Oryctolagus cuniculus: one gene and its partner. The protein of the gene in region 2 interacts with the protein of the main gene of each other region in a pairwise test. Links are inferred from orthologs where the notes say so. Each region holds a gene or a part of one and is shown on either strand. Other genes may lie near its edges.

Region 1 (14,667 bases), on a different chromosome or scaffold from region 2:
TCGAGGGCTGATGGCTGTAGGGCATGGGGGAAGGGGTTGAAGATACCAGGGTGGGTGGGCTCAGCTGTCCCCTGGTCTGTGTCTGGCCGAACCCAGGGACCCTGGGGCCCTCAGTGGGGGGAGCCCAGCTCACCCCCGGGTCGCGGAGGCCTCTCTGGCTCAGCAGTTCCAGGATTTCCTCCGTGATCGATGTCCCAGCGGGGTCGAGCGTGGGGGGCCCCGCATCCTCTGGGTCCTCGGGGGGTCCACAAGCAGAAACCAGTGGCTGAGGCTCTGCGGGTGCATAGAGCTCCCCCTCGCTGCCAGCATGCTGTGGGCGGCAGGGGATGCACGGCCCAGCCAGGGGGGCTCCCAGCCCCGCCGCCCGGACTCCCTCCTCGTTGGACCCGGCATTCCAAGATTCCACTTTCACCAGACCCCCGTGTCAGGACCCCAGACCCTGTCCCCAAGTATCTCTTACCTTGACTCTAGGCTTCTCTGGAGATGGAGGTGAGGAAGAGAGCAAGACACAGGAACAAGTTACTCCTCGTACCTGGTGCGCTGCCCACCCCTCTCCCACCCTCCCCCAGCACCCCCCAGGAGAGACAGACAGACGGGGACGGACCCATCACTGACCGTTCTGTGCAAACACGACACAAGGGTCCTTCACTGGCTCTGGGGGAGGACACAGCAATGTCAGGGGCCTGGCTCCCACCTGGTCCCCGGGTCACCACAGCTGGTGGTACTCACCGGACTGCCTGCGGCCACGGCGGCTGCCCATGGGAGCCGGAGATGGAGCTGCAGGAGAGCGGTCAGAAGCCCCGTGTGAGCCCACTCCGGGGTCCTAGGGAGGGGGCTTCTGGGGGGGCCGGGGCTCACTTACCTGTGTGCCTCCGTCCAGGGGTGAATGTCCTGGCATCGCGGGGCCGCGGGGAGCCAAGTGGGGGTGTCAGGGGCTCTGGGATAGGCTTACTTTTGGGAGCACCTGTAGGGAGAGTTTGGGGCCAATAACCTACTTTCTCGTGCAGGTAACCCCAAGTGCTCCCACCCCAAGGCCCCAACTCACAGTGCAGGCTGTTCTCAAGGAGAACTTGTTTGGCCTGAAAGACAGAAGGAGGAGGGCTGGGGGGCTGGGCTCCCAGCAGGTGCAGCGAGGCGTGGCTGCTGACCTGATCCTCACCACAACCCTCGGGAGGCGCTATTGCGCTTCCAGGCCCCGAGAGGTGGTCAGGGCACCAGACGGGCGCCTGGTGGGGCGGGGGGGGAGGGGGTGTCAGACCCAGGCAGGGCAGCCTGCACCTCTAGCGTCCCTGCACTCAGGGGGCCTGCGGGGACCACGGCAGGGGTCCCTGGCACGTGGAGGGCCCAGCCGTGGCAGGAGCTGTACCTTGGCAGGGATGGAGGCGGGGTGGTTCTCAAAGAAGAGGCGCTGGAGGCAGTGAATCCACAGCCTCTTCTCTTCCTGGTTCTTGGCCTGGCAGGGGCGGGGGCGGGGGGAGGTGGAGTCAGGGAGGCGGGCTGAGGTCCTGCCCTCCTGGAGACCCACCGCGGCTTACCTGGAGCAGGTGCCTGTGCTTGGGAATGGTCAGGTCCGAGACTTGGAAGCCTAGGGGGTCTCGCGGATTCTCACTCACACTCAGGTTGCAGCACTGGGTGAAGGGGCGGGAGGGGCAGCAGGCTCAGAGGCCAGGTGCCCTTGTGGGTGCAACTGCATCCCTGCCCCCGGCAAGATGTGCCCACGGGGTTGTCCCCTACCCCCTTCGACCTCCTCCCCCGGGCAGATCCCTCCTGCCCCCCTCTGGAAGAGATGCTCTCCCCCCCTCCCGCCACCTCCCAGGAAGACACTTGCCTTGTGGGCAAGTCCAGGGCCCACCCGTCACTACCCGGCCTTGCCTCTGTTCTCGAACTCAAGAGAACGTGGCCCTTTAAAGTCGGGGTGCCCCTTCCCACCCCATCCGGTCTTCAGCTCCCAAACTCACGAAGATGTGGCCCTTGTAGGTGTATTCCGGCCCCCGGCGCTTGGCCACCAGCAGCATCCGTGAGAAGAGGAAGAGCAGCCGCTCACCCCCGCGGAGCCGGGGGCCGCCTCCTCCGCCCCCTCGGAACGCGCCCTCCAGCACCAGCTCCCCGAAGGCACTGAGCTCCGGGCCGGTCCAGCCGCTCAACCGCCGCTGCACTTCCTGCCCGGGGCCCCGCCAGGTGCACCAGGCACAGACAGGCACAGGTGGGCGACACCCACAGACATGCCAAGAAGCAGGGGTTAGCGATCGGGGCCACGCTCGCCCTCCTCCAAGGCTGCCTCTGAGAGAGTGCCCCCGCCTCACTCACCGCCCTCACCCGGCCCGCCCAGCCCGCCCTGGGACCACCTGGAGGCGAGCCGCGTGCTCCTGCTTGCGCTTCATGTCGTTGATGTACCAGGCCACCGCCGTCATGGACACGATCGCTTCCTCCACCATCTCGCGGCCCCCAGCACCCGGGCCCTCTGCCCAGTGCTTGCCCAGTTCCTGCAGGGCAGCCACAGGGCACACACACAGGGAGGCTCAGAGACAGTAATGTAAAGGGAGGGGCAAAGGCGGGGGGGGGGTCCTGAGCCGGGCCAGGCCCCACACCCCACAGGACAGGCAGGCGAGGACGCGTCTCTGGCTGGCCTCACCCACTCACGGCCAGTCCTCCCTCCAGATGCGTGGGCTTGGCCCCCGCCCCGCTCACCTGCAGCAACAGGTGGTACTTGAGGATGCGCTGAACCGGCTTCAGCAGGAAGCTCTGCAGGGGCAGCGAGTGGCGGAGCTGGGCCTGGCGCTCCTGCAGCCACAGGGCTGCTGGCGGAGACAGCGCCAGCTCCCGGAGCAGGGCCAGGGAGCTGGGGGCACAGCACACAGGTCAGCGGGGGCTGCCGGCTCCGACTGACAGGCAGGGCTGGGAGGGCTCAGGGCACGGCCAAGGTTCAGGAGCAGTCGGGGCGGGGACAGGGGCAGCTAGGGAGAGGTCACGGCGTGGCAGGGGCTGGAGCTGGGTGGGCCGGGGGGCAGGGGCTGGAGGCTGGCCCGCACAGCAGCTCATGGCCACAGCCTGGGGCTCAGCAGGGGCTCCGTGCCCCTCACCTCGGGTAGTTCATGCAGTACAACGTGTAGATGTCAAAGTCCTCGCTCTGCGGGGGACACGGGCGTCAGGGAGACCCCGGCCCCCGGCTTCCTGTGGCTCCCCTCCAGCCTAGCCCACGCCTGCTCTCCCCCTGCCCGAATCCCACCCCAGGAGGGCTCCCTGCACCTGCACTCACCCTCTGCACAAAGCACTGGGCGATACCTCCTGCACTGCTGCTGCCCTCCAGGTCCTCCAGGAGCTCGCTGCGGGGGGAGGGGAGGTCTGAGGAGCTGCCCCACCCCCACGACCCTCTGTGGGGGACTCCGGGAGGCTGACATCCCAACGGCTAGCTGGGCCGAGGGGCTAGGGGGCTGCCAGGCTCTCTCGAGGGGGTGCCGTGTCCCAAGGAGGGGTCCTCTGATGGGGGCACCGTGTCATGACAAGGAAGGGGCAGCATGGGGGGAAGGGGTGCTGTTGACCTCCAGAGCACTGAAGGCGCCAAGATCCTGTGGGATGCTCAGAGGGCCTGGCCCTGGGGCCCAGCAGTCTCCTCACTAGGGTGACTGACCATCCTGGGCTGCCCGGGACAAGGAACTCTCAGTACTGCCCCTGGCAAACAAGGACAAGCCAGCCACACAGACTCGCAACCACAGGACCCACAAGACTCCGGGATTCATCGGGAGCCCAGGCCTGGCACAGCGCTGAGCCCCAGCCTGACGCCTGCGCAATGCCTGATGCTCGAACCTCATCTGGGCCCTGCTGCCCCCCAGGCCTCGCCCCGTCCAGCCCAAGGTGTGGCTCAGGACACAGCCCAGCCTCCCAGCACTCGCCCCAGCCACTGCCCTGCCTGCCCCTCTGCCCCTGACCTGCTGAACTCGTAGATGTCCTCGATGTTGGCAAACAGCGTGCCCAGCTGCTCCACGCTCAGCCCCAGGACCCCACCGTCCAGCAGAGGGCCCAGGTAGTCCTGTGGGGGGCGGCTGAGGTTACGGGAGAGGGGCAGGGAGACCCCGGACCCCCACACCCTCGGCTGCCCGCCTCACCTCCACGATGCTGCGAAGGTCCCGGACGTAGGCCCGCTCTGTCTCCACGATCTCGCGGGCCACACGCTCCAACCTCGAGGGTTTCACTGACGCTGGGAGCCCCACAGGCGACAGATCCAGGCGGATGGGGGGCCCTGGCGGGGGCTCAGGCCTGGAGGCTGGACAGGCCGGAGGGGGCCCCAGTGCTGGGTCCCCCTCAGAGCCCACAGTGCTCAGGGATGTGGAGCTCCCAGACCCTCTGGGGGAAGCCATGGCGGGGGCTGCAGGGGTGCAGAGCAGGGTGTCAGGGCATCTCCGCCAACACCCCTTCCTACAGCCCCCACGCACCCCCACCCGGCCTGCAGCTTTCCCAAGCTCCCTCCTCTCCTTCCCTCCCCCGGCCCCGCCTTGGTCCAGTTCTGTCTGGAGCCCTCTTGTCCCCCGAGCCCCAGCCAAGCTGACTGACCTTCATTAACTTGCCCATCTGGCCCTGTCACTCTGGAGCACGACCCCGTCCGTGCCCTGAGGGCACAGGCCAGACTCCTGGACCTGCAGTGTGGCCACGGCAGACTCTGCAGCCAGCTCGCGCCGCGCCGCCGCGGGGTCCCGCAGCCTGCACAGCCCACCGCACTGAACCTCCTGGCGCCGCAGCTCGCAGCCTGGTCTCACCTCCGAGCCTCTGCGTGTACTGTTCCCTGCGCGTGGACTGCTTTTCCTTTTTGTCTCTGCCCAACTCCGCGTCCTCTTCATCTCTGCCTCTTCAGCTTGGATGTCCCCGCCTCCAGGAAGCTCTCCCGGAGCCCCCAGACCTTTCCCCATCACAGCCCTGACCACCTGTCGCCTGCTCTCCTCCCTGTGCGCCAGGGATGCCCCGTGCACGGCCCAGCGTCTCAAACGCGGGAGCGAAGGCCCCCTGGCTCCGCCCCCGGCTGCAGGCTCACCTGTCCGAGTCTCACACTCAGCTGCGCAGGCACACACCTCCTCGCTGCGGCCACACCCGAGGCGGAGGCTGGGTTTGGGCGGGCTCGGTCCCCGGGCTCCCTCGGGCATGGCTGAGCGAGCGGCTCAGCAGCGACCTGCAGAAAGACCCCCCGGGATGTGGGACACGGGATCCCGCAGGCGCCTCTGCCGCCCAAGCTCTAGCTGGGTGGTGGAGGCTGGGACGAGCAGCAGCCCCCGGGAGCGATTGCCGGAGGAGACACAGGCGAAGTGACAGCCGAGAGGGGGCCGGGGAGGGAGGAGAAGCCGCGGAACGAGATGGGGGAGCGGAGACAAAGAAGGGAGCCAAAGCGCCGTAGAGGCTGCGGCCGGCGGCTCCGGGATCCTGGGAACGCTCGGGCTCGGCCTGGAGCGCAGGGCGAGGGGCAGGGCTGGGAAAAGCTGTAGGCGGGAGGCCGGGGGGTCCCAGGGGAGGGCGGAGGCTGGGGGACCGGATGCCAGGGTCCCGCAGACGGCTCCCTCCCCCGCCGAGGGCCGCGCGCCGCCGGGGCGCTGGCCCGGAGCCCTGGACGCCCCCGGCCGGTGCCGCGGCGCCCCCCGCCGGCACGCCCCCCTCATTGTTCCGCGGCGCCGCCCCTCCCCCACCGCGGGGCCCGCGCCTCCCGCTCACCTCCCCGGGGCCGAGGCTGCCCGGGTCCGGCCCGACCCCAGCGCGCTGCCCCGGGGGGGGCTCTCGGGCTTCAGCCACCAGAATCCGGGGTCTCCCGCGCAGTGGGTGCCGGCGGGCCCAAGTTCTCGGTGTCCTGAGTTGGGGGGCCGGGAGCCTCGACTCTTGAGTCTCGGATGGGGACCCTGGGTCTTCCGCGTGGGGCCGTGCGGGACTCCCGAGTTCCCCTCACACTAGTGGCGGGAGCGTAGGGCTTCCAACTTCCAGAGTCCCCTCGAAGTGGTGGATGCTGCAGCCCCAAAGTGCCGCGCTGGGGCTCTGGAGGGCCCGACCCCAAGTTCCTCCAACCCAGAGGTCCTGGGCGCGGGCTCCTGGGGACTGCTGGAGGGAGTCTGTAGTTCCGGGTCCCGAGTCCTCCAAACAGGGCTGCGGGACGCTCGGTCTCCAGGGTCCCTCGGGGGACTGATGTCGCGGGCCGCCGGCTCCCCCAGGTGGGGGCGCTGGATACCTGAGAGCTTCTAGTCCGGGTGCCGGGCACCTGGATTCCGAGGTCTCTACGGACGCGGTGCAGAAATTCCGGATGCCTGGGTTCAGGACTCGGGGCGCCTCAGGCTCCTGGCTGGATGGCAAGGGGGATCCCACGGCGGTGGCGGCGCCACATCTGGGGCGGGAGAGTCCGGACCCAGCTGTGGGGCGGGGGGCGGTCGCCCCGGGCTTCCCCTCCCCCCGCCGCCCGGGCGCATATCCTGTTCCCGCCCGCGGGGGGGAGGGGCCGCCTTCCGGCCGGCCCGCCAGCGAAGGGTTAAGACCCCGCCTTCCCAGCAGCTGAATATTCATGAGGAGGCGCGTCCCCAGGCAGGCTACACGCCCACATTCCAGGAGCCCCGCGGACTATTTCCTTTTACAGCGAGGGCCTCCGAGGCGTGAGAATTCGTGACTGGGCACGTACTCTCTCCTATTGGACAGCCAGACGGTTTCTATTTGCACATGCAATGCTAGGCGGAGTTGTCCAGCCAGGTCACGTGGTCATGAACGACTGAAGGACTCCGCGGCGCAAGGGTGCGGCCGGAGCTCCAGTGGCGCAATCGGTTAGCGCGCGGTACTTATATGACAGTGCAGGCGGAGCAATGCCGAGGTTGTGAGTTCGATCCTCACCTGGAGCACTTTTAGTTTCCCCGCCAGTTTTCATAAACTTATATATCTCATAAACCAACCCGAACATCTACATCACTTACAGAAACGAACATTTCCATCTCCAGAATTTTCGGGCTGGAAACTCGCGTGGGACTTGGTGACAGTCCGCCGAAGAGTTCTGGGCACAGAGTGGGGAGGAGGTGCTGTTTCCGTACTGGCCACCAGGGGGTGGTGTCACCTCTTGATTAGATGCCCTGTGCAGCAGATTCGAGTCTGCAAATCTCAGTTTGACACTTGTGGGTCCTCCGCACACTGTGCGGTAGGGCTCTTCCTCTTTCTCCCTTATTCAACTTGTCTTTTCCTCTCGACTTCTTCCAACGCCTGAACATTCAGTGTGTGCCTGACTCCGCTTAGATGCAGGTGGTAACAGCAGTGAACTTGACATCCTAGGGAGGAGGTCACCGAAAAGGCCACGTTTGTGCAAAGACCTGGAGGAGGGGGCGAGCCACGAGGACAGCAGGGTCTGCGCTCGGCACAGGGGCAGCCAGTGCGGAAGCCCTGGGTCCAGGCGGGTCCCATGTGTCGGTGAAGTGAGGGGCAGGCTAGGAGATGGCCAACCCTGAGTCGTGGCCATCCAGCGCTCAGGACTTCTGTGCGATTCAGGTGCCACACCGGCTTCCTTTGACCGGCTGGTGGGGGGTGGCCAAGCGCCGTAGTGGCCGCGAGCTGGGGTGTCTAGGGACTCCCAGGCACTTGGTCAGAGCACGGGCAGCAGGCGTTGCGGGCGGCCTCTTGGGTGTGGGCTTTTCGGGAGAAGAGGCGGAGAGCCGTGCGGTCTCCTTTGTTCTCTGCGACCGGCTCTGCGCTGCCCGCCGCCGAGGGGCCACTTCCCTTCTCCTAGGCCGGGACAGGGGCTCCTTCCCACAAGGGAGCCAGGCCGTTTCCTGGACGAGGAGTCCAAAGGTCAGCGGGTGCCGGTGGGGAGGATCGAGGCGGCCTGGGGAGAAGGCGCAGAGGAAGAGGAGGGAGGCGAACAAAGGGGGAGGGGACGGAGGGGAGCCGGGGAGCAGGGGCCGAGGGGCGGCGGGGGCCTGGGAGGCGTGGGGAGGGGCGGGGCGGGGCGCTGACGCGGGGCCGGGCGGCTTCCGGGCGCGGGGCGCCCCCTCCCCCCGGCCGGCGGAGGCGCCCGACGCCTCTTGCCTTGTATGGTCCGAGGCCGCCGCCGCTCGGGCCCCGCCCGCACGCGCAGGCCTCGGAGCTCGACCCCAGCCGGAGCCGAGGCCGCGACTCGCAAGGCCCGGAAATACCTCGGGACCGGGACGGCCGAGGCCTCCGGTTCTCAGAGAGCAGGGCCCAGATCTCAGGGGTCCCGAGGTTCTCGGGTCTTGAGACGGGAGCGCCCCCTCCCCCGCACTCCGAGCCCAGCAGACCCCAGACTCCACGGGCCGTCCCCGCCCGCCCCGCGCCTGGCGCCGGCACATTCCGTCCTCTCGCCGCCCCGGCCCCGTGGGGACGGAAATGTCCCGTCCCCGCCCGCTCGGGCCTAGCAGCCCGGCAGGACGCGAGTGCAGCGTCCCCAGACGCCTCGGGAACCGGCTCGCCCGGCTCCCCCCCGTGACCTCACCTGGCCCCGCCCTCTCAGGTGAACGGCGGGCCTGGTGACGTCACTTCCTGCCAGGTAAGCGCCGCAGGGCGGCTGGGCTCTCGCCCCCTCCCCGCCCCGGACAGCACAAAGGCCAGGGTTCCAGTTTACACGCCGGTTCCTTTTATTTAAAAATTCTAAAACACAAAAATAGACTTTTAAGGTAACAATATATATTACTTAATATATTATTATAGCATACTTAATAATTATACCAGTTTCCAATATTACAAAAAAGAGGAGGAAAAAATACAAAGGAAGCAGACGACTCAATATATATAAATACTATAAAACCTTATTAGAATAAATAAAGTCGTCATAAATAAAGGGCCCGTCGGTTGGGGGAGGGGTTTGGCAACGGCTTTGCTTGCTTGTGGAGGGAAATTTGAGCACCAGGAGTCTCCCTCGGGGAGGCTCCACTCACCACCAGACGCTGGGACCTCAGGAAGAAGTGGGAGGGGGCGCGCAGGGGGCTACTATTCACAGCACATGAGATTCCAGGAGATTCAGACGGGGTGCAGGTCGGGGGGGACGGGGCTCACTGTCTCCCTCCAGTATGCTACATCTTCAAAGAACCCCAGAGAGCACTCTGTCCCCCAACACCGTGAACACTGAGCTTGCACACCGGGGACCTGCCCCAGCGTGGGGTCAGGGGTGAAGTTAATGCATTTTGGAATGCGGGGGAGGGAGGGACCCACTTGAATGAATTAGGATCCCTTCCCCACAGGCCCTGGGCCCAGCGGAACCCACGGCACACCGCGGCGCCCCTCTATCCAACGGATCTCCGTCACTCAGACACGGAGATGCGGTTGAAGATGGGGAGGCGCCTGGGGGCTGCAGGCGGCTGGGGTGGCCCGAAAGCTCCCGTCTCGAAGACAGGAGAGTCGGACCCCCCCAGGCTGCTGCCGCTGCTGGCGTACTCATCCGGGTCTGAGCCCAGGGAGTGCGCCGAGGGGCTCCGGGCCAGGCCACCCAAGGGCCCCCAGATGCTGACAGGGTTGGCCCGGCGGCAGGAGGGGCAGCAGGCGGGCGTGGGGTCCCTTCGAGCCACGGGGGTCCCAGGGGCGGCAGAGAAGGCCGAGGGTGAAAGCGGAGCGTCCCCCGGTGGGGGCGGGGAGCTGGGTGGCGAGAAGGAGCAGGAGGACAGGGAGGGGCCTGCGAGGCCCGGCGGCGGAGGCGATGTCCTGCGGCCGGAGGGCAGGCCGGAGAAGCTCACGCTCTGGCGCAGCACGTGGGGGTGGCCGGGGGCGGCCAGGTCCTCGCTGGGGTTGTGGATGAAGTGGCAGCGGGAGCCGTAGGGACAGCGGCCCTGGAGGTAGAACTTGTGGCAGAGTTCAGTCTTGTACTTGGGGTGGCGATTGGCTTGGCGCAGCTCGCCCAGGCCATGGGCAAACTGGCATTTGGCGCCGTAGCGGCAGCGTCCACTCTCCGAGAAGGTCCGACACAGCTCAGTCTTGTAGCGGGAGGAGGTGGTGGGGGTCGCCGTGGGCGAGGTGGGCGAGGGCGCCAGCTCCGGGCCCGGGCGGGGAGCCAGGGGTGCGAAGCCAGGGGGTGGCGGCACCCAGCCGCAGCTGCGGCCCTCTACCAGGCTGGTGGAGCGGCCCGGCAGGCGAGAGGTGATCCCAGCCGGGCCCCAGAGTCCCGAAGGATCCGTCCCTCCGTGGTCGGATGGGGGGTCAGGGTGCAGCGACACGAGGCTCTGTGGGAACAGGGATCGGGTTAGGACACCCGCAGACGCAGGGCGAGGCGCGCCCCAGCTGCAGGGCACTTCAAGACCTTGCCAGGCCGGTTTGTGGGCTCCCGGCCGGAGCCCCACCCGCCCACGGCAACCGGGATTTCCGGAACCCAGCGGCGATCCCGGTTCAGGGGCTCTGCGTTGAGCCACGGCTGGAGGAGGAATCCCAGCTTCCCGGGAGGATCAACAGGGGACCCTAAAGTCAGGTCCCCAACTTGGAGCCGCTGGGCCTTCCCGGATATGAGGAGCGCAGCGGGTTAGTTCTCCAGTTTCACAACGGGAGGAGCCTGGCAGAGCCAACTCGGGAGTCTGGTCTTTGGGGTTTGAGTTCCCGGAGAAGGCGGGTCGAGGCGTCAGAGGCAGAAGTCGGCTTCCCCGCCCCGAGACTCAGCCCCAAAAACGCCTCCGCGCGGCACCGCGCCCTCGGCGACTACGAGGGGTGAGCCAGGTGCGGCGCCGTTTCCGCCTCCGACCAGCCCTGGTCTGAGCAAAGTTTCCCAGCGGCCACTCCACGGGGCCCCCACCCAAGTGCCGGCCGGGCCGAGAGCCGGCAGGCGGGGGCTCCATTTTTACTTCCCACCCCCCACCCCCGCCCCCCGATAATCAGGTCGGTCCGGAAAAGGCAGCCGGGGGCCGGGGTCGGAGGGTGTAGCGCAGAAGAGCCCCCCCCCCCAGCTTGGCAGGGAGGCTAGCGTCCCGGCGCTGGGGAGTCCGGAGGGGACTCACCTCGTAGATGGCTGTGAGATCCATGGCGGCGCGTTTGGCCCTGAGGGATCGGCCCAAAGTCGGAGCGCTGAAACCAGGCTGCGGCTACCCGCGACAGACACCTTCTTATAGGGCAGTGGGGGCGTGGTCGAGAGGGGCGGGCCCAGGGCGGGGCGGGGCCAGGAGGGGCGCTTCCCGGACGCGCGCCCCCGGCGCAGCCCGACGGGCCCTGGGCTAGTCCCCTTCCGCCCGGCTGCCGGCCAGGACGGGGCCTGCGCGCGGCGGGGCGGCCCGGAGGGGAGTGCGTGGGGTGGGGCGCGGGGCGGGAAGGGCGTCTGCCTGCCCAGGTTTCAAGGCTAGAGACGGAGGCCGGAGAATGGAACTGGGACACGGGTGGGGGCAGGGCTGCCGGAGCAACTGACAAGGGCAGAGGCCGAGAGGGCCTGCGCGGCTGACGGCGCGGGGGGTGGGCAGAGGAGAGAAAAAACCGACGAGAAGCAGAGGGAGGGACGGGCTCACACAGCGAGCCAGAGGCCGGCAGGTAGCTGGAAAGGGAGAGACAGGGAGGAAGAGACCCGGGGTGTGTGTGGGGGTGGGGGGGGGAACATGGGAAACAGACGTACACAGGGAGTCGCAGGGACACAGAGACAGGAAGGCATAACGCTGAGAGAAAGGGAGAGACACGCAGAGCCGTGCTGAGAGAGGGTGAGATGGAGGGAGGCGCAGGGAGAGACACCAGAGGTGGAGAGACACAGGCAGAGATTCTACACCGAGGGAGGAGACGACCCCCCCAGAGAAGTTCTGAGGCGGGAGCGGTGCGAGCGAGGGGGGGGGTCGCAAAGAACCCCCAAGAGGAAGAATTAACAAAGAAACAACACCCCCCCCCCCAGGCCCAAAGTCCACTCTGGCCAAGTGCAGGGAGGGAAACCATTCTGCCTGATAGGGCATTCCCTTCTCTGACACCTGCTGGGGCAGCTCCGCCTCGCTCCCAAACCGGAGACCCAGGCCTGGGAGCCGCCGTCATCGAGAGGGGGTGGGGTCGCAGACACCCGCGGGGGCACTCAGGGCTGTCTCCGCTTTCCACGCGCTCACACTGCCGGACACCCACGTCAGGTCACCCTCGCAGGCCCCCAGCCCGGGAGCAGCAGCCGCCCGGCCGCGGGGCCTCTGCCGGACGGCGCCCAAGATGGGACAGGTGGGCGGGCCCTCGCTCCTGGGGAAGACCGCCTCGCCCGAGCGCTGTTTTGAAACGCAAGAAGTGGGTTGTCCCCAGGTGCGGGCCGGCCGGGCTGCGACCGCCAGGGGTGCCCGGGGAGAAGCCTCGGTTGCCCGGGCTGCTTCGCCATGTTGGCGAGTCTTTCATAATCAAAGCGCGGCCCGCAGTGAGAACTCTCGGCTAAGATCTGGGGGGGGTAGGGGGTGCTGGTTTACTTTCCCTCCCCCTCCCCCTCCCCAAGGGGGTCTCGGTGAGCTTGCTGCCCGGTGAAAACACGGGGTAGGAAGTCCTCGCCACGGCGGTCACAATGGCGCAAAGTTCACTGTTGGGGGCCGCGGGCCCGTGCCGAGGCGGGGAGATTCTAGCGGCCCCGGCGCGGCGGGGAATCCCTGTTGCGGCGCTCTCTGGGGCCAAGGGGCCTTCCTCGGCCGGTCCCGTGAGCGGGGCGGGCCGCGGGCAGCTCTGGCACGGTCGCAGCCTCCCGCTCGCCCGTGACTCACCCGCGAGGGGCGGGGGAGGGGGGCTTCCTGGAAGCCGTGACGAGGAGGCTCAGCCCGGACGCCCGGGTTCCTCTCGTAACCAGGGCTCCCATCTCCTGTAAACACAGCCCCAGGACTGGGGCGGGGGTGGAGGACAGGGGACCCGAGGCTCCTGCCTCCACGCTGGCGCCCAGTCCCGCGCGGCTGCGGTGCGTGTGCCCGCGCGAGGTGGGGGGCGCTGCGCCCCGGGGTCCTCGGGGCCGGGCTGGGCTCTGGCCGCGATCCTGGAGGAGGGATTCCAGTTTCGATTCCTTGGAGACAGGGAACATTTCCCATCCTTGAGTCAGTCTGGCCCCCTCCCCTCTCTCAACTGCTGAGTCATGGGCCTCAGCGCTGGACGGTGGGGACCCGACCCCTCTTGAGGAGTCTGGGGGCCGGCGTTGGTGCGCGAAAGGACCGACTCAAACCCCGTGGACTCACGCAGCGAGGCCTCCGCCTCAGCTTGCTAGTTATTCCAGGCCCAGCCCCTCCTCCCTCAGACCCAGGGGTCCAGGCCCAGCCCTCCTCCCTCAGACCCGGGGTCTAGGCCCAGCCCCTCCTCCCTCAGACCCCGGGGTCCAGGCCCAGCCCTCCTCCCTCATACCCTGGGTCTAGGCCCAGCCCCTCCTCCCTCAGACCCAGGGGTCCTGACCCAGCCCTCCTCCCTCAGACCCCGGGGTCCTGACCCAGCCCCTCCCTCACACCCAGGGGTCCAGGCCCAGCCCTCCTCCCTCAGACCCCGGGGTCCAGGCCCAGCCCTCCTCCCTCAGACCCCGGGGTCCAGGCCCCAGCCCTCCTCCCTCAGACCCCGGGGTCCAGGCCCCCACCCTCCTCTCAGACCCGGGAGTTCACGCTCCTGCCCCGCCTCCCTCAGGGCCCGGAGTCAAGGTCGCCCCCCCACCCCGGGCCTCAGCGTCTCAGACTAGAAGGAAGTTCACGGCGGGACTCCTCCCCACGCCCCACGTAGCCAGCGGGAAAATCCGCGGCTCCAGCAGCGGCCGGGAATCCCCTGTGGAATGACGGTGGGAAGGGGGCGGCCTGGGTCCCCGCGGGGCGTGCGCGCCTGCTGCAGGGGTGCGCGCCCGCTGCGGGCCGCGGAGGGGGGCAGGGAGAAGGGGGCGGAAACCAGAGAAGCTAAAAATACAGCGAGCACTTCCGGCCCGTGGGGGGGAGGGGAACGGAGAGCAGAGTTTCCAGAAAAACAAGCGGGGACGGGAAACGCGGGGGTGTGAGAGCCGGTGCGAGCGCACGGGCGAGCCGGGGGCCGTGTACTCGCGCGGCACGTGTGCGCGCCTGGCGGCGTGGTCTGGGCGAGGGCCGGCCGGCCGGCGTGTGGAGCGTGGAAGCAGGCCCCTGGGGGCGTGATGTGCGGGGTGCCCGGGCAGGGGTGTGCAGGGTTTCCCCGGGTGATCGGCCGTGCCGCGTGTGCCTTAGGCGTCCCGGGGAATGGGTGTGTGGGGAGGACTCAGTAAGTGCCCTGCTGCTGTGGCTGCGGCGGCCGTGGGGAGGACGCTGGCTTCCGTGCCCACCTGCACATCCGTGTGCAGCTGTGACCACGGACGGATCCGGAGTGACTCAGCGTGTGTGACCGCGGGCAGGTGCCTGGCCCGGGGGGAGGCCGAGGGGCTGCACGCAGCAGCTCTGAGGCTGGCGGTGGCAGCCGGAGCCCTCGGGTGTGTGATTGGTGTTCACGTGCGTGTCTGTGTCGTTGCTTGCGTCTGGGAGCCCGCATGCGCCCGAGAAGGCGGCGGGCCCGCGTCTGTGTGGCCCAGTCACAAGGCAGTGGAGCCGGTGAACTTTGGTTTCTGACGTGAGCTGCGCGTGATGTGGAGGGTGGCTGGCGTGACCCCCCTCCGTGTGGCTGTTTGAGTTCCGCCTCCGAGGGCAGAGCCGACGCACACTTGCACCTGAGAGGCCGGGAGTGTGCACCGGCCTTATCTGTGCCCGCTGATGAGTCTGCTGCAGATGTTTGGCCGACAGCAGGGCTGAGTCAGCCAGTGATGGGCAAAGTCTGCGATGGGTGAGAGAT
Region 2 (14,628 bases):
TTTCGCCTTACTCATAACATGGTTTATGGAATGGGTCCTATGGGTACAGAGGGTCTTTTTCGAAGAGCATGTGAAGTTACACTAAGGCTGATGCGAGACCAGAGAGAACCTTTAATGAGGTAATCATTACACTTTCTAAGTAACAACAGTAATCATGAATGTAATATTTGGTCCCTAAGTATGATTTCTTAATATAGAAACCGCTTTGCATTGACTGAAATGAGTTTTTTAAAATTTATTTACTTTTTAAGATTTTTTTGAAAGGCAGAGTGACAGAAAGAGTAAAAGAAAGGTGGGGGGGATCTCTTCCATCCACTGGTACATTCCCGAGATGGCCACAATGCCTAGGGCTGGGCCAGACTCAAGCCAGGAGCCAGAAGCCTCAACTGGTCTCCCACATGGGTGGTAGGGGCTCAGACATTTGGGCCATCTTCCAGTGCTTTCCCAGCCATTTAGCAGGGAAATGGATCAGAAGTGGAGTACCTGGGACATGATCCAGTGCCCCCAGTGCCAGCTTCCTCTAATGCATACCTTGGGAGGCAACACATGATATCTCAAGTGATGGGGTCCCTTCCACCCACTTGGGAGATTGAGTACCTAGCTCCCAGCTTTGGCCTGACCCAGCTCCAGCTATTGGAGGCATCTGGGGAGTGAATCAGTGGATGGGAGCTTTCTCTTGCTGTGACTGTGTTTCTCCTTGCTTCTCAAATAAATAAATAATTCTTAATGGTGCTGGGACAACTGAATATGTATGTGCAAGCGAGCAAGAGAAAGAAGATGGAGCCCTATCCTACACTATATACACAAAGTAACTGAAAATTGATGAAAGGTCAAAATAGGGAGGCTGCTGTTATGGTACAGCAGGTTAGCCTCTCTGTGTTCCTACGTGAGTACCTGTTCAAATTCCAGATACTCTGCTTCCAGTCTAGCATCCTGCTGATGTGCCTGGGAAAGCAGCAGAAGATGGCCCAAGTGCTCGGGCCCTTGCCACCCACCTGGGAGACCCAGATGGAGTTCTAAGCTCCTAGCCTTAGCTCTGCCTAACTCTGGCCATTGTAGCCAAATATTTAGAGAGTGAACCAGTAGACAGAAGGTCACTCCCTATGTCTCTCCCTCTCTCTCTGTAACTCTGCCTTTCAAAGATATAAATAAATCATTCTCTCAAAAAAAAAAAAAATCAAAATAGAAGAGATAGAACTATAAAATATAGAAACCAAATGCTTGCCCCCAGCACCATTTTTTGAAAGGATCATTTTCCTCTGTTTAATCATCTTTACATTTTTGTTGAGTTGGCCAATAGATTTTCAACTCCAGTGATCTATGTGTTTAACTTTATGCTAACTACATACAGTGTTGAGTACTGTGGCTTTGTAGTAAGTTTTGCAATCAAGGAGTTGTGAGGGTCTCAACTCCATTCTTTCAAGATCGTTTGGCTATGGTGTTCCCTTGCATTTCCTTATGAATTTTAAGATCAGCTTGTCAGTTTCTATAGAAAAATCAGCCTGGATTTTTATTAGAAAGGCCCTGAATTTATAAAGCAATTGGGAAGGTACTGCCATCCTACCAATATCCTGATCCATGAACATGAAATATTTTGTTGAAACCTTCTTTAATTTCTTTCAATAATATTTTATAGTTTCTGGTTTGAAGTCTTGCATTTAATATTCAAGTTTTGTATTCCTTATAATTCTTTTTTTAAGATTTATTTTATTTATTTGAAAGGCAGAATTAAAAAAGGGAGAGAGGGAGAGATACACAGAGAAAGATCTTCTATCCATTAGTTCACTCCCCAAATGGCTGCAACAGCTGGTGCTGGGCCATGCTGAAGCCAGGAGCCAGGAGCTTTTTCTATGTCTCCCAAATGGGTGCAGGGGCCCAAGGACTTGGGCCATCTTCAGCTGCTTTCCCAGGTGCATTAGCAGGGAGTTGACTTGGAAGTGGAGCAGCTTTGACTCAAACCAGCACCCATATGAGATTCCGGCTTAAAATGCTGCACTAAAACTCTGGCCCCCATAAAAATATTTTACTTCTTTTCATTTACCTGGAAGAGCAACAGCCAGAGACAAAGAGAATAAAAGATATCTTCTATCAGCTGGTTTATCCCCAAAATGCACAAAACAGCAAGGGCTGAGCAAGGCCAAAACCAGGAACTTAGAACTCCATCTGGGTCTCCCATGTAGATGGCAGGAGCCCAAGTACTTGACCTATCATCCATTGCCTCCCAGGATGCATTATTCTAAGCAGCACAGCAATATGGCATACAGGCTTCCCTAGCCATAGTTAGGCATCCACAGTGCTCACCCCTATTGCTTTTGATTCTGTCCTAAATTGCATTTTTTTCTTAATTTTCCTAATTGTTCGTTGCAAGAGTATAAATACACAACTGATATTTGTATTACTGACCTTATATCCAGCAACCCTGCTCATCTCTGCTGTAATTATTATTTCTGTAGATACCTTAAGGTTTTTTTCTCTGCACATGCACTACAGATATAGTTTTTATTCTTTCTTCCCAATTTCACTTTTTATTTCTTTTTCTTGCCTAATTACCTTGTCTAGACCAATGTTGAATAGAAATTGTGAGGGTAGACGTCTTTGTCTTGTTCCTGATCTTGTAAAGCTGTCAGCCTTTCACATTAAAACATGACATTAGCTGTGGAGAGCAGATTTTTAAAGAACCTTTTAAGCTAAATTATTTGCCTTCTTTATTTTAAAAGGTATCTAGCAGATATAATGGCAGAGTACACTGGTTAGTTAGATATAGGCAAAGTCAAATTCTGCGAAAGAGGAAGTGTTTCATCTTGTTAATCATATTCCAGGAGTCTATCTGTCAGTCTGGGGAAATTAGGAAATAATTTCTGGAGGAAGTAGCTTAGACTTTAAAAATAAATAAATAGAGTTGATCTTGCAAAGGGGAAAAGTATGTTCTGTGATAGAAGTAGCAAGGCAAGGGAAGGCATGGCCTGTCTGAGAAGTGGGATACAGTTGCCCTCCTGTTACAGTAGGGGATATGTTTCAAGACTGCAAGTGGATGCCTGCAACTACAAGTGATACTGAACCCTATATACCTATGGTTTTTCCTATATGTACATACCTATGATAAAGTTTTATTTATAAATTAACAATAATAACACATAGTAAAATAGAATAATTATAGTGATATGCTATAATAAAGTTGCCAGCATCAATACTCTTGTGGCTTAGGTCATTATTAAGTATACTAAGGGTTATTTGAACACAAGAACTGTGAAACCATGACAATCGATCTGGTAACTAAGACTACTACTAAGTAACAGATAAGCTTGTCTGGTATGTGCTGTGGAAACAGAAGACAAAAGAATCATATCTTGGGCAGGACAGTGAAAGAGCATGAGATTTCATACACTTGCAAATTGTTTATCCATGGTTGACCATGGGTAACTGAAACCACCAAAAGCCAACTCACTATGGGGGCCGGGAGGGGCCTACTGCACTGTTTTCTTGAGAGTATTTTTCAAAAAAAATGATACTAATAATGATACTAGACAGGGGAACAGCTCTACATGGTGAAGGCTCCACTTTAGGCATATTTTCACATTTAAACTTTGCCCTGAGAAGCCTTTAGAAGTTTTTTTAAAAGGGAAATTTAAAAATAAAATGGAGAGGCTCTCATTCTTTGTCGAGATATCTACCTGGCCTGCCACATGTATTCTCTTCATTAAATTTTGCTTTCATGCTTACTGCTGATCTCTATGTCTCACATTTGAATTTCTTTTCTCGTGGGAACACAAGAACCTCTGTTCCACCTGTTTCTAGACATGGCTGTGCATGTGCAGAGAGAACCCAGTGCAGAGAATCATATCACTCAACCTAGACATATGCAAAAGAAAGAAAATACAAAAGTGTAACTGGTGGAACCAAGAAGCCAGAGCAACACTGGAACTTGGTATTCCAGAGCCCATTGAGGAGCAAAAGCTCCCTAAACACACAAATCCAGGCCTGAAGGGCCCTCTAACCATGTTGGCCCGATTCCAAGCTTCTCCAGTTGATAAGGGTAGGTAGGGAGGAAGAGGAACAAAGATGATTCCTAGATTTCTGTCCAGGACAAATGGGCAAATGATATTGTTCTTTCCTGATTTCAGGAATATGAGAGAAATGTTGGGAAAAGGTAATGAGTTTTGTTTTGAAGATACTGAGTTTGGGATGCCTGGAACATATCCAAGAGGGTATTTCTCATGATTAGTTAGATTTCCTTCTAGAGTACAAAATAAAGATCTAGGCTGGGTCTTTAGGTGGCAATAGGTATTATATGACCACTGAAACATGGCAGGAGATGAAATTCATTCATGCAATAAACATTTATTTACCAGTTAATAGCATACATTTTAGATGACATACAAAACTCATCTTGTTCTATTTAGCACCTCCAGAAGACACTTCTGTCTACTATCTTGAGTCTTCTCTGCCCATCATTCCCTTACCCTCTCTTCACCCACAACAATAATTTCATATACCTTACTAAAAAGGCAGTACAGTGGGCCGGCATTGTGGCACAGTAAGCTAAGCCCCTGCCTGCAGTGCTGGCATTCCCTATGGGGATGTTCGTGTCCCAGCTGTTCCCCTTCTGATCCAGCTCTCTGCTTATGGCCAGTAAAGCAGTGAAAGACAGTCCAAATGCTTGAGCCCCTGCACCCATGTGGGAGACCCTGAAGGAACTCTTAGCTCCTGGCTCCTAGCTCTGGCCGTTGTAGCCATTTGGGGAGTGAACCAGTGGATGGGGGATCTCTTTCTCTCTGTCTCCTTCTCTCTGTAACTCTACATCTCAAATAAATAAAATCTTTTTTTTTTTTTAAAGTAATAAACTAAGGTATTGTAAGAGTATTGGCTGGTGCTGTGGCATAGCAGGTTAAAGCCCAGGCCTGCAGTGTTGTCATCCCATATGGGCGCCGGTTCAAGTCCTGGCTGCTCCACTTCTGATCCAGCTCTCTGCTGTGGCCTGGGAAAGCAGTAGAAGATGGCCCAAATCCTTGGGCCCCTGCACCCATGTGGGAGACTCAGAAGCTCCTGGCTCCTGGCTTCAGATCAACTCAGTTCTGGCCCTTGCAGTCATTTGGGGAGTGAACCAGCAGATGGAGAACCTCCCTCGCTCTCGCTCTCGCTCTGGCTCTACCTCTGGCTCTGGCTCTCTCTGTAACTCTTTCAAATAAATAAAATAAATTTTTTTTAAAAAAAAGACTATTACCATTAATTTCTCATCCTTTACTTAGTCCTTAGATTATAACAAGGTTTCTTTTTGCAAAGATAACATTGTATTAGTAGCATGCTATTTGTTTTAATTGTAGTGTCTTGAAGACTTTTCTGCATGATCCTCTTGTGGAGTGGAGTAAACCAGTGAAAGGGCATTCCAAAGCATCACTGAACGAAACTGGGGAAGTCCTCAACGAAAAGGTCAGTAGAAATACGTCTAGCTTGATATGAGCTGACACTGTACGTCTCTACAAATGAGAACTGATTCTCAAACCTGTTGGTGATTATTAATTTCTCTGAAACCTAGTTGTATAGTTTGACAATATCTTACGTTTTATTGTCATTACTAATGTTAGCATTTAACCAGAGAACTTGCAACTAACGAGGCAGATTGGAGAAAAGTGAGCATAAATTACCCTCATTTATAGAGCAGTTTCAATATGATGCCAGTGTGCCAAAATCCATCTTGACAAATGTAATGACTCAGTCCTTATTAAAATTAGTTGAGGGTCCAGTGCTATGGCCTAATGGGTAAAAACCACCACCTGTAGCACCAGCATCCCATTTGGGTGCTGGTTTGTGTCCTGGCTATTCCATTTCTGATCCAGCTCCCCTGCTAATGTGCCTGGGAAAGCAGCAGCAGATGACCCAAGTCCTTGGACCCCTGCAGCAACACAGGAGACCCAGAAGAAGCTCCTGACTTCTAGCTTTGGCCTGGCTCAGTCCTGGCTGTTGTGGCCATTTGGGGAGTGAACCAGCAGATGGAAGATTCTCTCTCTCTGCCTCTCTCTAATTCAGCCTTTCAAATAAATAAATCTTTTATAAAATTCATTGAATCTTCAAGTTTACAGATAGTTGTTTTTATAAGTTAGAATAGATTGAGGACCTTTTTCCTAATAACATCTGATATGCTTTCTTTATAGACTTGTAGAATTCCAAATAGGTCACTTAGAACTCTATTTTCATTTACTAACATTGCCTAAATATTAGGCATTAGAACATTGTTGCTGTTATTATAGAATATCAATCAAATGTTTAGGTCTTAAACAGTTTCAAAGCAGATTTTTAAAAAGATTTATTTATTTATTTGAAAGGCAGATTAGAGAGAGAGAGAGAGAGAGAGAGATCACTTTCCCATCCCAAATGGCCACAACAGCTAGGGTTGGGCCAGCCCAAAGCCAGGAGCCAGGAACTTCATCCAGGTCCCCCATGGAGGTGGCAGGGGCTTTAGCACTCATAGGCCATCTTACTCTGCTTACCCAGGCACATTAGCAGGGAGCTCGATCAGAAGTGGAGTAGCTGGGACTCAAACCTGCACTCCTATGGAATGCTAGCATTGTAGGCCATGGCTCAACCTACTGTGCAACCATGCCAACCCCTCAAACCAGATTTATTTTAAGTTTTCAAGAAAGGCATTTGGTACAGTGGTTAACCCTGCATCTTGGGATGCCTGCTTTATATATCAGAGTGCCTGGGTTCAAGTTCCAGCCCCATCCTGCATTCCAGCTTCCTGCTAACATGCACCCTGAGAGGTAGCAGGTGATGGCCCAAGTAGTCGGGTGCCTGTTGCCCACATGGGAGACCTAAACTGAGTTCCAGCTCTTGGCTTCAGCCTAACCCAACCTTGGCTGTTAGAAGCAGTTGAGGAGTAAGACTAGGATGGGAATTCTCTCTCTCTCTTCCCATCCCTTCCTCTCTGCCTTTCAAATTAAAGTTTTAAAAATATTTCTCTAGAAATATAATGTTCAAAGAATTCCCTGCCATTTCATGTAATACAGAAACATGTCCAAGCCATTCATTTTGAATTAAGATTGACATCCTCAAAAATTCATATAAAAAATTTACTTTTTTCCACATCAGCCCCTATAAAAGAGGTATTGATCAGCAAAACAGTGTCAGCATTTATAAATATCAAGAAATTATCAACATCCTCATATACTGAATTCTTTTCTCTAATGATTTTCTGTTTCATCTTTTTAGGCTAAGACTCATGTTCTTGACATCGAGCAGCGATTACAGGGTGTAATCAAGACCCGAAATAGAGTGACAGGGCTGCCATTATCTATTGAAGGACATGTGCATTACCTTATCCAAGAGGCTACTGATGCGAACTTACTCTGCCAAATGTACCTTGGTTGGACCCCATATATGTGAAATGAAATTATTTCAAATGTTAAACCTGACTTTAATGCATTTGATATTCATCTGTGGCTGTATCCAATTCTAAAGTACCGCATGTTTCTTTGTCTTAGAGCAACTGGTATTACTTCTGCCCAATTGTGAATAGTATTTTAAATAATATATGTTGTTATTAAGAAATAAAACTTATTTCTTAACATGTGTATTTGATTACGTGGAGAAATGTGTCAAATGGATTTGCAAGAAACAGTCTAGCCTAATTTCGTTTCACAACTTTTATCAATTTCCCTTTAAAAGTACTAGTTAGCCCAGGAATTCATTTGAACAAAATCCTATCAAATACAGTGAGCACGGTACTGTGCTTGTAAGAGAACTATAAACAGGCTATCATTATGTTCACTTAAAACTCTGGTATGTTTTCCCTATGACACACAGGGGGAAAAAAATCTTAAGAAAACTAAAGAAACATTTTGTAATTTAAACGTGCTGCCTGCCGTGTCGTGGGCATAAAGAATGTACAAACCCGTGGTCATGGAAAACAGCTGTACTTAAAATTCTATGGAGTTTTAAAAATCACCTCAACCCCCCCAGCACGACTGGCCTTTCCCGAAACGCAGAAGGCTGACCTCGGAACTCCTCAGACCCTCGGCCGCGGCACAGCCGCTAGGAGCACTGTGACGCCACGGCGCCGGCGGCGGCCAGGGTAGGCGGGGCTGAGTCCCGCCCCGGGCCCGGCCTCGAATCCGGCCGCTCTAGGCCCGCCGGGCGCTCTCTATGGTCGCGCGGCCGGTGTGTTGTCATCGGCGGAGCGACGTCCGGAGGCGGCGGCGTAGGCCCCGGCGGGGCGTTTGGTTTCGGTTTGTCCCTGACTAGAATTAGTGTTGACGGTCGAAATGGGAGTCCCCAAATTTTACCGATGGATCTCGGAGCGGTATCCCTGCCTCAGCGAAGTGGTGAAGGAGCATCAGGTGGGTGAGCGATGCGCGGTAGCTCGGCAGGCTGAGCACTGGGGGCTGCGCGGCCCTCCCTCCGCTCCGAGACCCGGGGTTTCTAGCCTTTCGCTTGTTGTCGGCCCGACGAGTGGCGAAGGCAGCCCAAGAAGGTGTGAAGACCCCGGGATGATCTGAATTGGGGACAGACGCGCGGGGCTTCGGGCTGTTCTGACAGCTCTCCCGCCTCGGCGGGGCCTTCCGCGCCTTGGAGATGAAGTCCGGGGAGGGAACGATATTGATGGGGCTCCCCGCTCCTCCCCAGGGGGGCTTCAGGTCGCTGTTCCCTCTGTCGGGGCTGCGAAGCTGGTGTGGCCGTCCCCCCTTCCCACCTGAAGCCGCGGTGTCTACGAACAATAACAGCCGCCTCCGCGGTTGAATCACCTTGTTTACTTTTCCTTGCCGGGAGCTGCATCCCACCCCGCCTCCACGCCTGGACTTTTCCGACGTGCCCGAAGGGTCACGTTTATGATGCCGATTGTTACTCTTTCTGGTATCCCAAAGAAACACCAATTCCGCTGTTGCCAGAGCCGCACTTGGACGTGCGGCGGGCGTTATTTTGAGACTTTGGGGAGGAGAGAGGGGTTGTTTGAGCGTTGATCCTACTACGAATATTTGGCATGTATTGAAACCAGGGCAATGCAGATTCCAACAATGTAGTTTGTATTTTGCAACTGTGGGAAGAGAAGAGAAAGCAGTTGTCCGATAGATAAGCTAGACTTTGGATGAAACTTTAATGTCGGCCCCATTCGGTGAATTTGAGAGCTCTTTTTGTTTGTATTGTGTTTTACAAGGGAAAAAAAGCAGTTTCAAATGTATGTGGCTGATTGGGTTAGTTGTCATGAGTAGCGCTGTGTTAATAATAGGGGGAGGGAAGTAACTCCGTGAATGCCATCGTGCTGTAAAATAATGGTTTGATCTTTTGAAAATATTTGTAAACTTGGGGGAAGACTTAAACTTCTGCAAAGGATTGTTTGTTGTTGACTTCCAATCAGATTTGGTACATGAGAAAAGGCTTTCAAAAATACCAAAACACTGGCTTATGATTAATTTATTTGGAACAGTGCATTGAGTTAGATTTAGGAATGCATTTATTTCCTGAGAAGAGAGTTTTAAAAGGACACCAGTACACTGAAGACATACAACTTACTTTGACTTTTCCTGGATCCTTCCATCAAACATTTGAGTACCTGCCACACACACATCAGTCACTTTAGTTCTAAAGTGAACATGTAAGATGATTGCCAGAGTGACCTAATAATGCATGATTTGTTCAGCAATATTTTATTTACTTATTTATTTTAAATTTTATTTGAAGGAGAAGGCAGAGAGGAGATAAATCAAAAGATCTCCCACTCACTGGTTCAATTCCCAAATGCCTCCAACAGGCAAGGCTGGACCAGGCAAAAGCTGGGATCCAGGAACTCAATCTGGGGCTCCCATGTGTGTGACAGGGACCCAACTACTTGAGCCATCACCCGTTCCCTCCCAGGGCGCAGCATTTGCAGGATGCTGGAATGGGGAGGAGAGTTAGGACTGAAACCAGGCACTCGGATAAGGGATGCAGATGTCCCAAGAAGTGCTTTAACTACTGTGCCAAATGCCCACCCCTGCTCAGTACTATTTTTATTCAGCACTCTTTGGCACAGAGCTTGGTTTAATGAAAATATCTTGGATTCTCTCCATCCTGAGGACTTTTTTTGTTACTGAGGAACAAAAATAGTCTAAGACAGTTTATGACATGAGCACTAAGGGTAAGTTTTCTGAAAACTTTACTCTAGATAGAAACTGAGAGTAAAATTTTTTAATTCCACATTAAGTAAAATTGTTTTTAAATTCCACTTGAAGTAAGCTTTAAAACTTCATTCATCACAGTGATGTCTTTCAAAAGTGTTTGCTTAAAAGGGACAGAAGGGCTACCAGGCTACCCTCTGTCAAGCAGTGCTTATAGACAAGATGACCATGCTTAAGTAAGTCCCGGTGGTTCAAAGCTAGTCCTGGGTAGAAGGGATTGCGAGGGAGAGTGTTCCGTGAAATGGCAGTGGTGGCACAGCATCCTTTTCTTAGTCCTGATTCCTCAGGTAAAAACAGAAAGCGAAACTAGATAGCAATATTTAAGACCCATAAAACAATTCTAACAATCCACGGGGCATAGTATCCCCACACACCTCAAAATACAGCCAGGGAAGACAAACTCTCAACAACATAGGCACCGTTGACATCTGCAAGAAGAAGGAAGCTGGGGCTTCTTCTGGAGGACCGAGAACAGGAGAACTCCAGAATAGCCAAGAGGTTTTCACTAAAAGACTGCTGGCCAACTAGAGGGCAGTGCCTGAGTCCGAGGAGTTTTACTGACTAGTGAAAGGTCTACAGTAAGAAAGAGCAAAGGGCAGGAGCAGTGTATGTCCTGTGAACCTTTGAAACTAACTTGTCACAGTGCCATTCTAGAGCACATCCCACCCTCTGGAGAAGCGGCTTGGACTGGAATAAGATTTTTTCATGAAAGAAGCATTGGAGACAAAACAGATGATCCAGATAAAAATGAGGGAGGCTACAAAGTTAAGAGATCTTAGAAACCAACAAGCAAGCCATCAAGTTTTTATACTACCCAAAAACAGCAGAAAAGGGAGCTGGTGAAATTAAGGCTTTCCGGCCAGTGCCGTGGCTCACTTGGCTAATCCTCTGCCTGCGGCACCAGCACACTGGGTTCTAGTCCCGGTTGGGGTGCCGGATTCTGTCCCAGTTGCTCCTCTCCCAGTCCAGCTCTCTGCTCCACTGACTGGAAGGCAGTGGAGGATGGCCCAAGTGCTTGAGCCCTGCACCCGCATAGAAGACCAGGAGGAAGCACCTGGCTCCTGGCTTGGGATCAGCACAGCACCGGCTGCAGCGGCCATTTGGGGGGTGAACCAGCGGAAGGAAGACCTTTCTCTCTCTCTCTCTCACTGTCTAACTCTGCCTGTCAAAAAAAAAAAAAAAAAAAAAAAAAAAAAAAAGAGAGAGAGAGAGAGAAAAGAAAAGAAAAAGAAATTAAGACTTTCCTAAACCTTTGTTTATTCTAGAAGTTCAGTGGGGCCCAGCGCTGTGGCTGTGGCATAGCAGGTAAAGCCACTGCCTGCAGTACTGGCATCCCATATGGGTGCTGGGTCGAGACCTGGCTGCTCTGCTTCTGATCCAGCTCTTTGCTATGGCCTGGGAAAGCAGTAGAGGATGGCCCAAGTCCTTGGGCCCTTGCACTTACATGAGAAGACCCAGAGGAGGCTCCTGGCTCCTGGCTTCCGATTGGTGCAGCTCCGGTGGTTGTGGCCAATTGGGGAGTGAACCAGCAGATGGAAGACCTCTCTCTCTCTCTCTGCCTCTCCTTCTGTCTCTGTGTAACTCTTTCAAATAAATAAATAAATCTTTTAAAAAAAGAAAAGAAAAAAGTTCGAGAAAGTTAAGTTTTATAAAAATAAACAGAAAGGTATTAATATCAAATCATATACAAAATTATAAAAAGGAACAAAATAATATCCTAACAGATATTATAAGCTTATAATAAAACACACGGGGAAAACATTCAAAAACTGTAACCTATTTCTGAAAGAAAATGCACTAAGAAAAGGCATGAAAACACACACACACACACACACACATATATATATAAACTATGAAAACTTAGGAATGAGATGACATAACCTAAAGAAAATTTGAAGTAAATGGAAAAAATCATTTTAGAAATGAGGCCTTAAGTGAAAAAATAAAAAGCAAGAATAAATGATACAATGGGTGGGGGGAAGGGTAGAAAGAAAAGGACATTTTTAAAAAATTAAAAAGATAAAAAGCATTCAAGAAAAAGAACAAATAACAATAGGCAAAGAAGACAAATAATGCTACTAAAAAAAAAAAAGCCAAAGCAACATAAACACTAAAACTATAATTCAAACTTTCCTGAAATTTAAAAAACAAAAACAAAAAAACCTTGCATATTGAGAGAAATACTGTGTACCTGAGAATACTGATTCAGATGACCAAACCAAGACATATTCCGGAAAATTACTAGACTTTAAAGAAAAAGAAAAGGACTAGCGAATTCACCCAAGAGTCCCTTTATTAGGGACAGGTTTCCCCTAACAGTTGAAGAGAAGAGAAAAGACAAAGTGAAAATAGCTTTATAAATCTGAAACTTCTAACCACATTGTTTGATTTTGTTGAAGATTGGTGAATGGTTTTATCTTAGCATTGATAGTACCACCGCTGAAGAAGGAAGGAGAGAACAATTCTGTAGACATTTTGTTCAAATAATCATTTCTAGTTTAGCACCAGGTCATCCTTTATGTGTCTTCAGAACTTGGAGCTTACAGCTTATAAGGATCGGTGACGTTGTACAGCAGTTCCAGCTTCTGATGTAGTACTCTGGGTTTGTTCCAGAGCACCTTGCTTTACCAATAAAAGCCATTTACTCTCTTGTAGAAATGTGTGATTGTCCAGTACCTCCCATTCTCAGGCTTTGGTATGAAATCCTTTATTGTCATCGAGTCTTGGGAAAGAAGAGAAGCTGAATGCATCCATCATCTGTGTCCTTTACAAAATAAGTCATACAACTAAAACTATAAACTATTAGAGTATATGCACTTCTTTTTTACATTATATTTCAGCACAGTGCCAAAGCCAAAATTTGTTAAGCACTTGCCATGTTTCAGACACTGTTTTAAATGCTTTACATACATTGAGTTTTTAAACCACTAGTAAAGTAAATACTGGAACTGAATTTGAAATCAAGTTGAATTGCTCTAGCACTGTGGTTTATTATTGTTGTCATTATTATTACCCCTATTATTAACCCTCTTTAGGAATCTCTTTAGGCTTGTTTTTTTTTCCTAATCACTCCCACTGTTCCATAGAATTTTAATGTCACAGATGTACTGCATATCTGTTTATGTATGAACACCAATTTTGACACTTTGGGGAGTGATATTTTTAATAATTAATAATGTATGCTGTAGATCCTGCATTATTTTCTTCAGTATGATAAAATATCCATAACAGTTTTACAATCTTAATCATTTTCAAGTGTACAGTTTAGTGCATTCAGATTATTATACTATACCCATGCTTCTAAAACTAATCTTTAATGCATTATGCTAAAAGATGTTTCTTGCTTAGGAAAATCTAAAATTTCAAATTGTAGGGAACACATGCTGGCATCTCTATTTTAATGTATTTGCTGTTCTATAGAGGTCTTATCAGTCATATTGTTTATTGTGCTACTCTATTCACTGTATTTCTCAGCCCCCAACATGATGTGTGGCACATAATGAGTACTCAATAAATATTTACTGAGTGAATTTAACAACTGTAGCACATTATATAATATGTAAAGCATAACCCTTGGAAACTATATATTGAAATATGCATAGTATATTAGTAGGTTATAAAACTTCCTTTCTTGAAAATGAATTGAAGCAGCAAAATCTTGAGATTGCTTAAAATGAATAAGATTAAAGGACTGAAAGGAAAGTTGTTGACAGCTCCTTTAGTCAGCCAAAACAACATTGTTTGGCTTTATGTAACAAGAGTTTTGCAACAATACTAAGTAGGATACAAAGTTAGACTAACAAAAAGAAACTAATGTTTTTAAGATTAGATACTATGATATTAATACTTAACCACAATTTGAAGCAGTATAAATACATATTCCAAGGGATTGTGATAAGCTACATGTGATGTCACCTCCCATGAAGGGAAGCTTTATTTTTTATTGATTAAATATTTTTGATTTGCTGCTTTGTGTTTTGCAGTCTGCTAAGGAATCTTTTTTTTTTTTTTTTTGGATTTATTTTTTATTTATTTTAAAGACAGAGTTACAGAGAGAGGTAGAGACAGAGAGAGAGAGATCTCCATCCTTGGGTTCACTTGCCAGATGGCTGCAATGACCGGAGCTGCAGTGATCCAAAGCCAGGAGTCAGGAGTTTCTTCCGGGTCTCCCATGCGGTGCAGGGGCCTATGGACTTGGGCCATATCTACTGCTATCCCAGGCTATAGCAGAGAGCTGGATCAGAAGAGGAGCAGCCGGGACTAGAACCAGCATCCATATTGGTTGCTGGCGTTTCAGGCCAGGGCTTTAACCCACTGTGCCACAGCGCTGGCCCCTCGCTAAGGATTTTAAACAACAGACAATCCAGAGGCACTGGTTTGTTTTGAGGAGCTCATAGTTCAGTAGTGGAGAACTGTTACATGCGTTAAGCATCTGATTAACTGTATTGAGTGCCTGTATTACCATCTGATTAACTATACT

What was found.
Region 1: the proteins of XRN1 (region 2) and ZFP36 interact in a two-hybrid assay, tested with the Homo sapiens proteins (2 studies listed by BioGRID). The link is inferred for Oryctolagus cuniculus from reciprocal best matches to the Homo sapiens genes XRN1 and ZFP36.

The regions. Positions count from the first base shown.
Region 1 is NC_091449.1:15,535,258-15,549,924, forward strand, and holds ZFP36 (mRNA decay activator protein ZFP36), read right to left. Parts: upstream 11,086-14,667; 5' UTR 10,950-11,085; coding exon 10,926-10,949; intron 10,164-10,925; coding exon 9,252-10,163; 3' UTR 8,565-9,251; downstream 1-8,564. Other genes in the region: PLEKHG2 (pleckstrin homology domain-containing family G member 2), read right to left, coding at 1-14, 134-310, 461-477, 616-654, 730-777, 863-964, 1,046-1,079, 1,367-1,453 and 9 more. UniProt on the Homo sapiens protein: Zinc-finger RNA-binding protein that destabilizes several cytoplasmic AU-rich element (ARE)-containing mRNA transcripts by promoting their poly(A) tail removal or deadenylation, and hence provide a mechanism for attenuating protein synthesis.
Region 2 is NC_091435.1:139,433,100-139,447,727, forward strand, and holds the start of XRN1 (5'-3' exoribonuclease 1), read left to right. Parts: upstream 1-8,107; 5' UTR 8,108-8,258; coding exon 8,259-8,333; intron 8,334-14,628. Other genes in the region: serine/threonine-protein kinase ATR, read left to right, coding at 1-119, 5,322-5,427, 7,207-7,380. UniProt on the Homo sapiens protein: Major 5'-3' exoribonuclease involved in mRNA decay. Required for the 5'-3'-processing of the G4 tetraplex-containing DNA and RNA substrates. The kinetic of hydrolysis is faster for G4 RNA tetraplex than for G4 DNA tetraplex and monomeric RNA tetraplex.